3 linked regions of the Sus scrofa genome follow. The main gene of each other region encodes a partner of the protein of the gene in region 3 in a complex. Links are inferred from orthologs where the notes say so. Each region holds a gene or a part of one and is shown on either strand. Other genes may lie near its edges. The genes, in order: MED12, MED18 and MED4.

The links.
Region 1: MED4 (region 3) and MED12 share a complex: the UniProt entries of both Homo sapiens proteins name them as parts of the mediator complex. The link is inferred for Sus scrofa from reciprocal best matches to the Homo sapiens genes MED4 and MED12.
Region 2: MED4 (region 3) and MED18 share a complex: the UniProt entries of both Homo sapiens proteins name them as parts of the mediator complex. The link is inferred for Sus scrofa from reciprocal best matches to the Homo sapiens genes MED4 and MED18.

Annotation. Positions count from the first base shown.
Region 1 is NC_010461.5:57,153,855-57,157,509, reverse strand, and holds part of MED12 (mediator of RNA polymerase II transcription subunit 12), read right to left. Parts: coding exon 3,442-3,655; intron 3,077-3,441; coding exon 2,930-3,076; intron 2,772-2,929; coding exon 2,672-2,771; intron 2,547-2,671; coding exon 2,410-2,546; intron 2,189-2,409; coding exon 2,057-2,188; intron 1,473-2,056; coding exon 1,346-1,472; intron 892-1,345; coding exon 662-891; intron 1-661. UniProt on the Homo sapiens protein: Component of the Mediator complex, a coactivator involved in the regulated transcription of nearly all RNA polymerase II-dependent genes.
Region 2 is NC_010448.4:85,382,777-85,386,531, forward strand, and holds the start of MED18 (mediator of RNA polymerase II transcription subunit 18), read left to right. Parts: upstream 1-1,308; 5' UTR 1,309-1,509; intron 1,510-2,070; 5' UTR 2,071-2,139; coding exon 2,140-2,212; intron 2,213-3,755. UniProt on the Homo sapiens protein: Component of the Mediator complex, a coactivator involved in the regulated transcription of nearly all RNA polymerase II-dependent genes.
Region 3 is NC_010453.5:19,564,545-19,567,478, reverse strand, and holds the end of MED4 (mediator of RNA polymerase II transcription subunit 4), read right to left. Parts: intron 1,228-2,934; coding exon 1,055-1,227; 3' UTR 564-1,054; downstream 1-563. UniProt on the Homo sapiens protein: Component of the Mediator complex, a coactivator involved in the regulated transcription of nearly all RNA polymerase II-dependent genes.

The sequences.
Region 1 (3,655 bases), on a different chromosome or scaffold from region 3:
CCAGAAAAGTCGACTCAGAAGTTGGAGACAGGACACCATACTGGGAAGAGCACAAGATCCACATCCAAGCCTTGACTGATCACTTAGCCCCCATAGGCCTTGGTTTCATTTAGCGTTATTTTACTTTTTTTATTTTATGATTTTTATTTTTTCCATTACAGTTGATTTACTCATTCAGCTTTAAAATGAGAATAACAGGAGTTCCCGTTGTAGCTCAGCAGTAACAAACCCAGCTAGTATCCATAAGGATGCAGGTTCGATCCCTGGCCTTGCTTGGTGGGTTAAGGATCCAGTGTTGCCATGAGCTGTGGTGTAGGTCACAGACGCAGCTTGGATCCCGTGGTGCTGTGGCTGTGGCCTAGGCCAGCAGCTGTAGCTCTGATTTGACCCCTAGCCTGGGAACCTCCGTATGCTTTGGGTGTGGCCCTAAAAAAAAAAAAGACAAAAAAATGATAACAATACCTCAACGAGGCAGTTGTGAGGATCAAATAATAATAATAATAATAATAAAATGATGTGAGAGTGCTTGGTAAATAAACTATGAAGCGCTAAGCAAATCCTACCCTCATCACTGGGTAAAGGATCCTCAGATTACTTCAGGAGCCAGGAAGAGGGGACTGTACAGGAAGAAACAATCTAGGGTGAGGAAAAGCCAGCTCACCTCCAGCTTGCTGCTGCTGCTGCCCTCAGCCTCCTTGCGCTCAGGGTCATCAGCAGGGTCATCAAAGGGAGAGGGAGGCCGGGGACCAGGGGCTCCAAAGGCAAGGTCCCCTCGGGAGATGAGGGTGCAAGTGTACATGTTGTGGGAGAAAACATCGTGTCGAATCAGTTCACAGAAGAGCAGTACCAAGTTAAAGAATTCCACCCGCTCACTCTCACTTCGGGGGTCCGCTGGAGGGAGGGAATGAGAAAAGATGAGTAAGGGAGCATGGAAGACATGGGCAGAAAGCGAGAGGGACACATCTAAGGTAAGATGCTCCTAGGGTACCTGAAATAGGCAGGAATAGGAATGACTCAAAACCCCCCAACGCCCCCCAAACTGTTGAGGGACAAAGTATGCTTGGTTATCCTACCTCCTGCCCCCCCATCTAATAAAGGAACACAGCATTTCTGCTATTTATACATGAAAACGCTCCGATCCTAAGCACTTGTTTTTATTCTACTCTTTATTTCTCTACTCTGTTAAACTGTAAGATGATCAAAGACTAGAATTATGTCCAAAGACATTCTGCATAGAGCTCAAGCTAAGATTATATCTCAGAAGGCCTTTCATTATGCTTTCTGATGACAGGGGTGGGTAAGGGAGTCTAGGCAGAGGTAACCAGAAAGTAGCAGGGGTCCATACTCAGCATGGGAGCCTGTGTGTCCAGAAACTGCAGGAGGACATCCTGGAAAATGGGAGCACTGGGTGCAGAAAGGGAGCCAGAGGCAATGGAACCCTTCTCATCTGCGGCTTCTGATTCTCCACAACGCTATAAAATGAGAGGACAAACCATAGGGCTGGGTTTTATCTGTTTCTTCACTCATCCACGTACAATCCTTGAACAACTGCCTATCTCCACGTCCCCCTGTTGACTCCCATTTTCTTTTCTTTCTTTGTTTTTAGTCTTTTTAGGGCTACACCTGTGGCATATGGAGGTTTCCAGGCTAGGCATCTAATCGGAGCTGTAGCCGCCAGCCCACACCACAGCCACAGCAACGCAGGATCCAAGCCGTGTCTGTGACCCACACCACAGCTCACGGCAACGCCAGATTCTTAACCCACTGAGTGAGGCCAGGGATGGAACCCAAGTCCTCATGGACACGAGTCGGGTGCCTTAGCACTGAGCCACGATGAGAACTCCTTGACTCCTATTTTCTTTAGCGCCTCCAACTGCAGCCTTGATCACTTCTCTAACTCTGACACTGATCCACTCATTTCTATTTTTGCCTCATGTCCTCCACTTTCCCTGTACGTTCTCTAACCACTTCTTACTCTCACACCTTCAACATTGGTCCCACTATCAGCTCAATCTGGCTCCAGGCCCAGCTGCCACTCCCTGCCGGGCCCCCTAACCTCAGCCTCGATCTCTGCCTGTCTCTTCTCCAGCAGCTTGGCTACCACCATAGCGCGATGCCGACCAGAACGCTTGCAGCTGACAGCCCATTCACACAGTAATGATACCACAGCATCATCATCTGAGGAGATCTGGAGACCAAAGGAAGACGGAGGTGAGTAAGGCAGAGTTGGGGACAAAAAACTGAGTTCCAATTTCCCAGCGATTGGGCCCCATCTTAAAACATTCTAGGCCCAGTAAGACCATCTGTCTCTTCAGACATCCTCTAGTTTTAGTGCCTCACCCCTCCTTCCCGTCAAATGTACTGGTGCTCTTGCTGTTTTTCCCTCCTCTTCCCCGTCTTGCTTATTACCTCGTGTCCATCCTTGCTGGGCCCCAATCCAAAAATTCGGTTACAGAGGGAGTCAAGAGAGTTGCTGAAGTCAGAGCGCTCAAAACTATGGCTGTCCAGCACTTCCAAAGTATGGAGCACCCGTCCAATGGTGAAGCCTAAAGAGGAAAAGCGGTAAAGGGGACTTAACCAGAGGCTTACTCTGACTCTCAGATCTATATGTCATTACCATCCCCACCCTTTCCTCAAACACCCTTCTTACTGCCTGTCCTCTGGCACCCACCTGCAGTAGCTTCCTGGCACTTATCAAAAGACCAGCGAACCTCAACGGCCTGTCCTCGCTCCTTGATCTGCTGCTCGATCTCCCGCAACTTTGCACGGACCTGCCAAAAGGAAGGTTTTAAGGATGGAGCAAAGCATACAAAAAGGCTAGGGCTCCAGGCTAAAAGCATAGTAGTAGGCTCCAAGTCACTAGTTCTGAAAGAGTAACTTCAGCCTCTATATCCAAACCTGCGGTAAGCAGGCTACTGGTCCAACTTACCTGCTGAGTGAAGGCACTGTTGCCCTCTGGCATGGGCAGGTTGGAGGGGGCAATAGGCAGGTGATCGAGTGGTGAGCCAGTCTTGATTCGGCTATCAGTCAGCGAGTAGTGCCAAACCAGGGCACTAGGACAACACAGGAGGATGGTCTGCCAGACAGGAACAGCTAAGTCAAACTCGGTTACCATGGCTACCTTTCCAGAAGCCCATCATAAGACCCAATGCTTCGATTTCCAATCCAAAGTTATTCTGAGTCCCTAGGGTGGCATCACTCCATCTCTGAGCCCCTCCCCTCATCCACTCTCCTCCAAAGGCTTTGGGCCTACTATGTAGACCTGGAAGGGAACTACCTGAAAAGGAACTATCGCCCCATGAATGAGCAGCCAACAATTTCCAAGCAAGTACTCAGTGCCTACTCTCACCTCCAATTTAGAATCCCCCTATTTTCCAGGACAGGCACCTAATTCTTCTCAAGAGGTCTCTTAATACTTCCATAGGCCCACCGAGTACCTACCTGAAGGATACAGCTGAGGCCAAAAACCAGGGGTCGGTGCTGAGGACACATAAGCAGGTCACTAAAGGGTGTAGAGGGTGTGCTGCTAGTTGGGGGCTGAGGAGCAGGGGTGGTGGGTAGTGTGCTTGTTGACTGAGCAGACATCACATGAGACGAGTGACTGCTCACACCATCCAGCTGCAGGGCCAGTCTCCGGGTACAGAAGTAGGCAAGG
Region 2 (3,755 bases), on a different chromosome or scaffold from region 3:
GTCAGATAAAATGTGGGTAATATTTTTTTTAAGTTTAAAAATGTAAATGAGTAAGACAGTATAAATTACAGCAGGGGAAACTGGAATTATAAATGACTGTATAGGAGTTCCCATCATGGCTCAGCAGAAATGAATCTAACTAGTACCCATGAGGATGCAGGTTCCATCCCCAGCCCCAGTCAGTGAGTTAAGGATCCAACATTGCCATGAACTGTGGTGTAGTTGCAGACTTGGCTTCGATCTGGCACAGCTGTGGCTGTAGCGTAGGCCAGGGGCTACAGCTCCGATTCAACCCTGGCCTGGGAACTTCTATATGCCTTGCTCGGTGAGTTGGGGGTCCAGGATTGCCATGAGCTGTGGTGTAGGTCACAGATGCGGCTCAGATCGCACATTGCTGTGGCTGTGGCATAGGTCAGCACCTGAAGCTCTGATTCAACCCCTAACCTGGGAACTTTCATATGCCAGGGTGCAGCCCTAAAAAGAAAAAAAAAAAAAAGATGTGTAGCAATTAAGAGGGTGGGTTCTGAAATCAGGCAGCTGCTTAAATTTGTACCCCAGTCTAAACTCCCTGGTGTGTTATTTCTTGATGCCTAAGTTTCTCCATTAGTAAAATTAAGTAATAATTATACTTGGGTTACAGGGCTGCTGTGAAGATCAAAAATTCCAATATTTTGTTCATTAAGGATTTTTTTTCCACATTAAATTCGTAAAAGATTGCATTACAATTTTTTGAATTGTTAGGAGTTTTGGTGCCCCTTAAATTTTTCGCTCCAGGGAGTGCCTCAACCACCATACTCTAGCTCCATTCTTTGCATTTTACATGCTTGACACACAAGCAACATTCAATAAATGAGCTGAATTTACTTATCTCCCAAAATTTTTGAATTGAGGTAAAATAAACACAGAAGAGTGAACAAATATCAAATGTATTGCTGAGTTCCCTAATTGTTCAGAACAGTCTGCTAAACAGTAAAAGATGTCTTTCCTTCTTATCTTCAGGTACTCAACCAAAAGAAGTTTTGGTTTTATGATCTCTTTTTTTCTTCAGCTCTCTTCCCCCGGCTCTCTTTTCCCCCTGTAAGTTCCAAAAGAATTCCTTGACAAAAACAACTCCAGGCCGTCACACTTGAAAAAAGGAAAATATTTTCCGGGAGGACTGCCTTTGATGTCAAGGTCCCCCTCACGCCCCGAGGAACGCGCTCAGGAAGGCCGCCCTCTTCCACGCAGAATCGCAGTTTGCGCATGCGCTTCTACTTGCCAGGCCGCAGAGATGATTTTTATGCCTTCCCGGCACCCTTACGTCGCAGAATGGTGATGTCAAGATTTGCGCGACGGAGACTTTTTGCCGGAAGTGGAGGGGAGAAAGTGTTGCACTCCACCGGGGGGTGGGGGTCTTCAAGTTCAGTGCTGGGGGCTAATTATCGCTAAAAAGCTCCGAGGTGCTCTGGTGGCTTCAGTTCCCTGCTTTGCCAGAAAAGGCTAGAACACGCGCGGAGGTGTGTTTTTGGTGTGAGTAGGCACGCGTCGATGGTGGGGTAGGAGGACCTCAATCGTCAGAAGAACTTCGCACTTCTGTCTGGCTCGCTTTCAAAGGCGTTTTGAACGCCTAGATTTTTGTCTGGTTTATCTCTGCCATGGACTTGCTCTGTATCCTTCCCTCCAACCCCCACCCAAAGTGTCAGTATCCTCATCTCCAAATTGAAGGGGAGTCACCTCTCAGTTCTATTATTTCACGGCTATTGTGTCATCTGAGCCACAAAGCCTTGGGGGTTAAATGTCGACCTCATTTTATAAGGAAGACATTGAATCCCAGGGTCAGCGGTTTGATGGCTTATTGCACAGGAAATTCTGAAACTGAAGGTTTCAGACCTTGAGACTGAAAGATTATAACTCCATGATCAGGCCTCCTTTGTGTATTTCTGTATCATCAATTCCTGAAACTGACTTATGGAAGTTGTTCAAAAAGTTCTGGATGAATGAATGAATCTTTTGATGTTAAGGCTAATGACCCAGGTAGATCTGGTGTCTCTCCATCTCTCTGATGTATTAACAAGCATAACTCTTTTCCAGGTGTGTCCTGTGCTTTATTTGACTGGGACTCTGAATCCGGTTCTGTTGCTTTCAACTTAAACAGATAGCATGGAGGCACCTCCAGTCACTATGATGCCTGTCACCGGGGGCACCATTAACATGATGGAGTACCTGCTGCAGGGTAAGTGAACTAGGGAGCTTAGATTACCTGATTTCCTCTTTTCTGTTCAGGTTCCATGGAGATGAAAGGCTAATATACAAAGGCTACATAATTTCTGGCACCTCTTTTTTTTTTTTTTTTCAATTTGGCTTTAATTATGGTCACAAACATATAGCATTAAACATTTTGAGCATAACATTTAGTAGTGTTAAATATGTTTGCATTGTTGTATAGCCAATCTCTAGAACTTTTTCATCTTGCAAAACTGAAACTCTGTACTCATTCTTCCTTTCCCCTCCCCCCAGCCCTTGGCAACAACTTTTCTACTTTCTTTTTTTTTTTTTCTTTTTTTATTTTCTTTTCTGCTGAACCTACGGCATATAGAAGTTCCCAGGCCAGGGATCGAACCCACACCACAGGAGCAGCTCTGGCAGCTACAATGACAACACAGGATGAGTAACCCACTGCACCACAGGAGAATTCCAAACCTTTCTACTTTCTGTTTCTAATTTTGACTACGTTAGATAACTTTATATGAGTGGAATCATATGGTATCTGTCTTTTTATGACTGGTTTATTTCACTTAGTATAATGTCCTCAGCGTTTACCCGTGTTATCACACGAGACAGGATCTCCTTTCTAAAGGCTGAATAATGTTCTATAGTATGTATATACCACATTTTCTTTATCTGTTCTTCTGTTGTTGGACATTCAGGTTGCTTCCACCTCTTGGTTAACATGGATAATGCAGTGAACATGTGTATGCAAATATCTCTTCCAAGATCCTGCTTTGAATTCTTTTGGTTAAATATCCAGAAGTGAAATTAATGGATCATATGATAATTTTATGATACTATTATTAATTCTTGTAGATCAGGAAATAGAATTGAAGTAACTTGCCCAGATGAGAAAGCTCAAAACTCAGTGTAATGATTTTCAGGAGGCCTTATAATGTTTCGCAAAAAAGTTTAGACTTTGAATTATCCATTTAAGAACTTAATATGGAAGTTCCCGTCATGGTGCAGTGGTTAATGAATCCGACTAGGAACCATGAGGTTGCAGGTTCGATCCCTGGCCTTGCTCAGCGGGTTAAGGATCTGGCGTCACCATGAGCTGTGGTGTAGGTTGCAGACACGGCTTGGATCCCACCGTTGCTGTGGCTCTGGCGTAGGCCGGCGGCTACAGCTCCTAGATTAGACCCCTAGCCTGGGAACTTCCATATGCTGGGGAGAGGCCCTAGAAAAGACAAAAAAAAAAAAAAAACTTAATATGAACGAAGTAGGGTTATTAACTTTCATTCTTCCAGCTGTCCCTCCTTCAGTCTTTTCCATCTTAGTAAGTGCCTGTCATTCACCAGTTGCTCAAGCTATGAATTCAGGAATCAATCTCCATTTTTTCACTTTATTCTCACCTATAGCTTATCTCTAGTTCTGTTTATTTTACTTCCAAAATATATATTAAATATGTCTTTTCTCCACATGCAATGGCTTGGTTTATCATCCTTTGAACTATTTTAGTAATTTTGTGCTTATTGCATTGCTTCCACTTTTGATCATCTGTCTCT
Region 3 (2,934 bases):
CTGTGGCTGTGGTGTAGGCCTCAGCTGCAGCTCCAATTTGACCCCTAGCCTGGGAACTTCCCTATGCCAGAGCAGACAGGAAAAAAAAATAATGTGTATGTGAAATATACCTGAATATGAAAGTTAAATGTGCTTAATTTATAAGATGACTCTTCATTATATAACATACGATATATATATCTCCTGTTAACTTTCCAGAGTTTTTTTTTTTTTTTGCTTTTTAGGGCTGCATGTGGAAGTTCCCAGCTATGGGTCTAATCAGAGCTGTAGCCATTGGCCTATACCACAGCAATGTCAGATCTGAGCTGCAACTGCAACCTACACCACAACTCACAACACCACCAGATGCTTAACCCACTGAATGAAGCCAGGGATCAAACCCGCAACTTCATAGTTCCTAGTTAGATTCCTTTCCACTGAGCCACAACAGGAACTCCCAGAGTATTTTTTAAAACCCAAATTCTAGGAAACATTGAGACCCAAGGGTTTTGGATGAGTGGTTATAAAGATGTACAGATAACCAGGTAAGCATGTACACAACAATTTGATTTGAGATACAGTGGTAAAATTCCAAACAAGTGTATTTATTTACAAAAAATACAGTAATTACAAACAGTACAAATTGAGGCAAGTTCTCCTGTGACAAAAGCTAACAGCCTTCACTTTCAAATGAGTTTTCTGTTACTCTGAGCTATGTTGCATTTTCAGCGATCTACTGCCTTTTGTTTACGCTTTTCATAATAACAAGAGGTCTATTAGTGATGTACATGGGTCATGTCCCTCAAATCTTATTTCCAGAACTACTATGTACAACTCCAACTAAGATGGCACTGAACTGACTAATCTTTTTATTCCAACGGTAAATTTTGTTTTTCTCTATTCCCCTAGTGGTTCAGAAACGAAACCATGATTTTTGGCTTCAAAAAGTCCACAATAATTTTTAACGATGGCACACTTTCACTACAGTATCACCTGGCTTTTAAAGGTTTGCTGCTGTTTAAGAAGCCGATTTCTATAATATTCAATTCTGTATGCTTTTTTTGTCACATTTTCTTTAATCAGAGTCACTGCTACTGCTTGAGGAGTCTGTTGACATGACCTCTACGTCATCTTCATTTTCTTTATTGTGCCCTGGAGGCTCCAACAAAAAGTCATTACTGTGATTTGGTGGTAACATATTCATTGCCATATCATTTGACTGCCACGGATACTGGGGGGCAAGAACATCTGAAGAAAAGAAAGCCCATGTGAGAACATTTCAACTCAATTTACTTCTTAGTTACTCTTTCCTTCATGCAAATAAAATGAAGTAAATTTTTAAGGCTGAAGTCTAAATACACATTTGACCAAATTAATGAAAGATCAAATATATCAAGGAAAAATGTGATGTTTTAGTAACCACAATCTGTTTATTTTTTTTTAAATCACACTTTACTATAGCCACTATTCATAGTCAACTGCCATTAATTTTCCTTTTACAAGACATTCACAATTTCCAAATATTTCATATGTCTGTATATATTTAAGCACATATAATAGGTCATATATACTACTCTCCATATATTCCCTCGTGATATAAACAGCTAATATATGTACTATACTAAAAAAGGGGCCCTGTATCTATTATTACTGCATTTGAAAAATACAGTTCTTGGAGTTCCCGTCATGGCCCAGAGAAAACGAATCTGACTAGTATCCATGAGGATACAGGTTCAATCCCTGGCCTCACTCAGTGGGTTAAGGATTCAGTGTTGCTGTGAGCTGTGGTGTAGGTCGCAGACTCAGCTCAGATCTGGTACGGCTGTGGTATAGGCCAGCAGCTACAGCTCAGATTCAACCCCTAGCCTGGGAACCTCCATATGCTGCTAAATGCTCCAAATGCAGCCCTAAAAACAGACCAAAAAAATACAGTTCTCTTTACCATCCAGTAGTTAGTGTATTGTTACTAGTCAGTAATTCTTTAAATTCTCCTTGTTCATATTGCTAGTGTGGTTTCTGCCTCCTGCCTGGATTGTGAGTGGCTTATGTCATATGATACGGTATAGTCACAATGAAAAATGTGATTCCAAGGGAAACTAATGCCCAATGAGTTCTCAGTTTACACCTTGAATAATTAACAAAAATGGTGCTTATAAAAAGCATTTTTAGTAACAGAGGGACAGCCTTACAATGAAATGTCATGCATTATCTAGAGCATTTATAACAACGTTAAAAATACAGGGGGGAGTTCCCGTCATGGCACAGTGGAAACGAATCCAACTAGGAACCATGAGGTTGCTTGTTCGTTCCCTGGCCTTGCTCAGCAGGTTAAGGATCTGGCATTGCCATAAGCTGTGGTGTAGGTCACAGACACAGCTCAGATCTGTGCGTGTGGACCAGCCGCTAGACCCCTGGGAAACTCCATATGCCACAGGTGTGGCCCTAAAAGAAATAACAAACAAAAAACGGGAATAAACGAAATATGTAAAATACTAAAAGTAATTGCTCAAAAAAGCAATTTTTTCATGGTTTTAAAAAAAACTTTAAAAATATTCTGCCAGGTCAAAAATAAAACAAGTCGCCAAAAAAAAAAAGAAAGATAGGGAACGTAAAATATAACAACAGTACAAACCTGTATGTGAAGCCTGAGGAAGGGTGAAGCTCAGTATGAGTCTCACAAAAATGACATTCTATTTAGTTACAAAAAAGTCCATAAAAAGCTTTGTTATTCACTTTGTTAATTTGAGGGTTATTCATAAGAGTGTTCACTTGGTATTCTTTAAACTGAACATACATCTTACTCTGTTTATAAAGCATGTTTCATTTTAAAAAGCTAAGTTTAGGGCTTAGTTACTGAGAAGTCTAATGCCGGAGGAAAATGACACATTAATAAATGAGAAAAAAATTCAGTTTCTTCTAACTTCATAATAACCTCCATTTTGAACAATCTTTAAG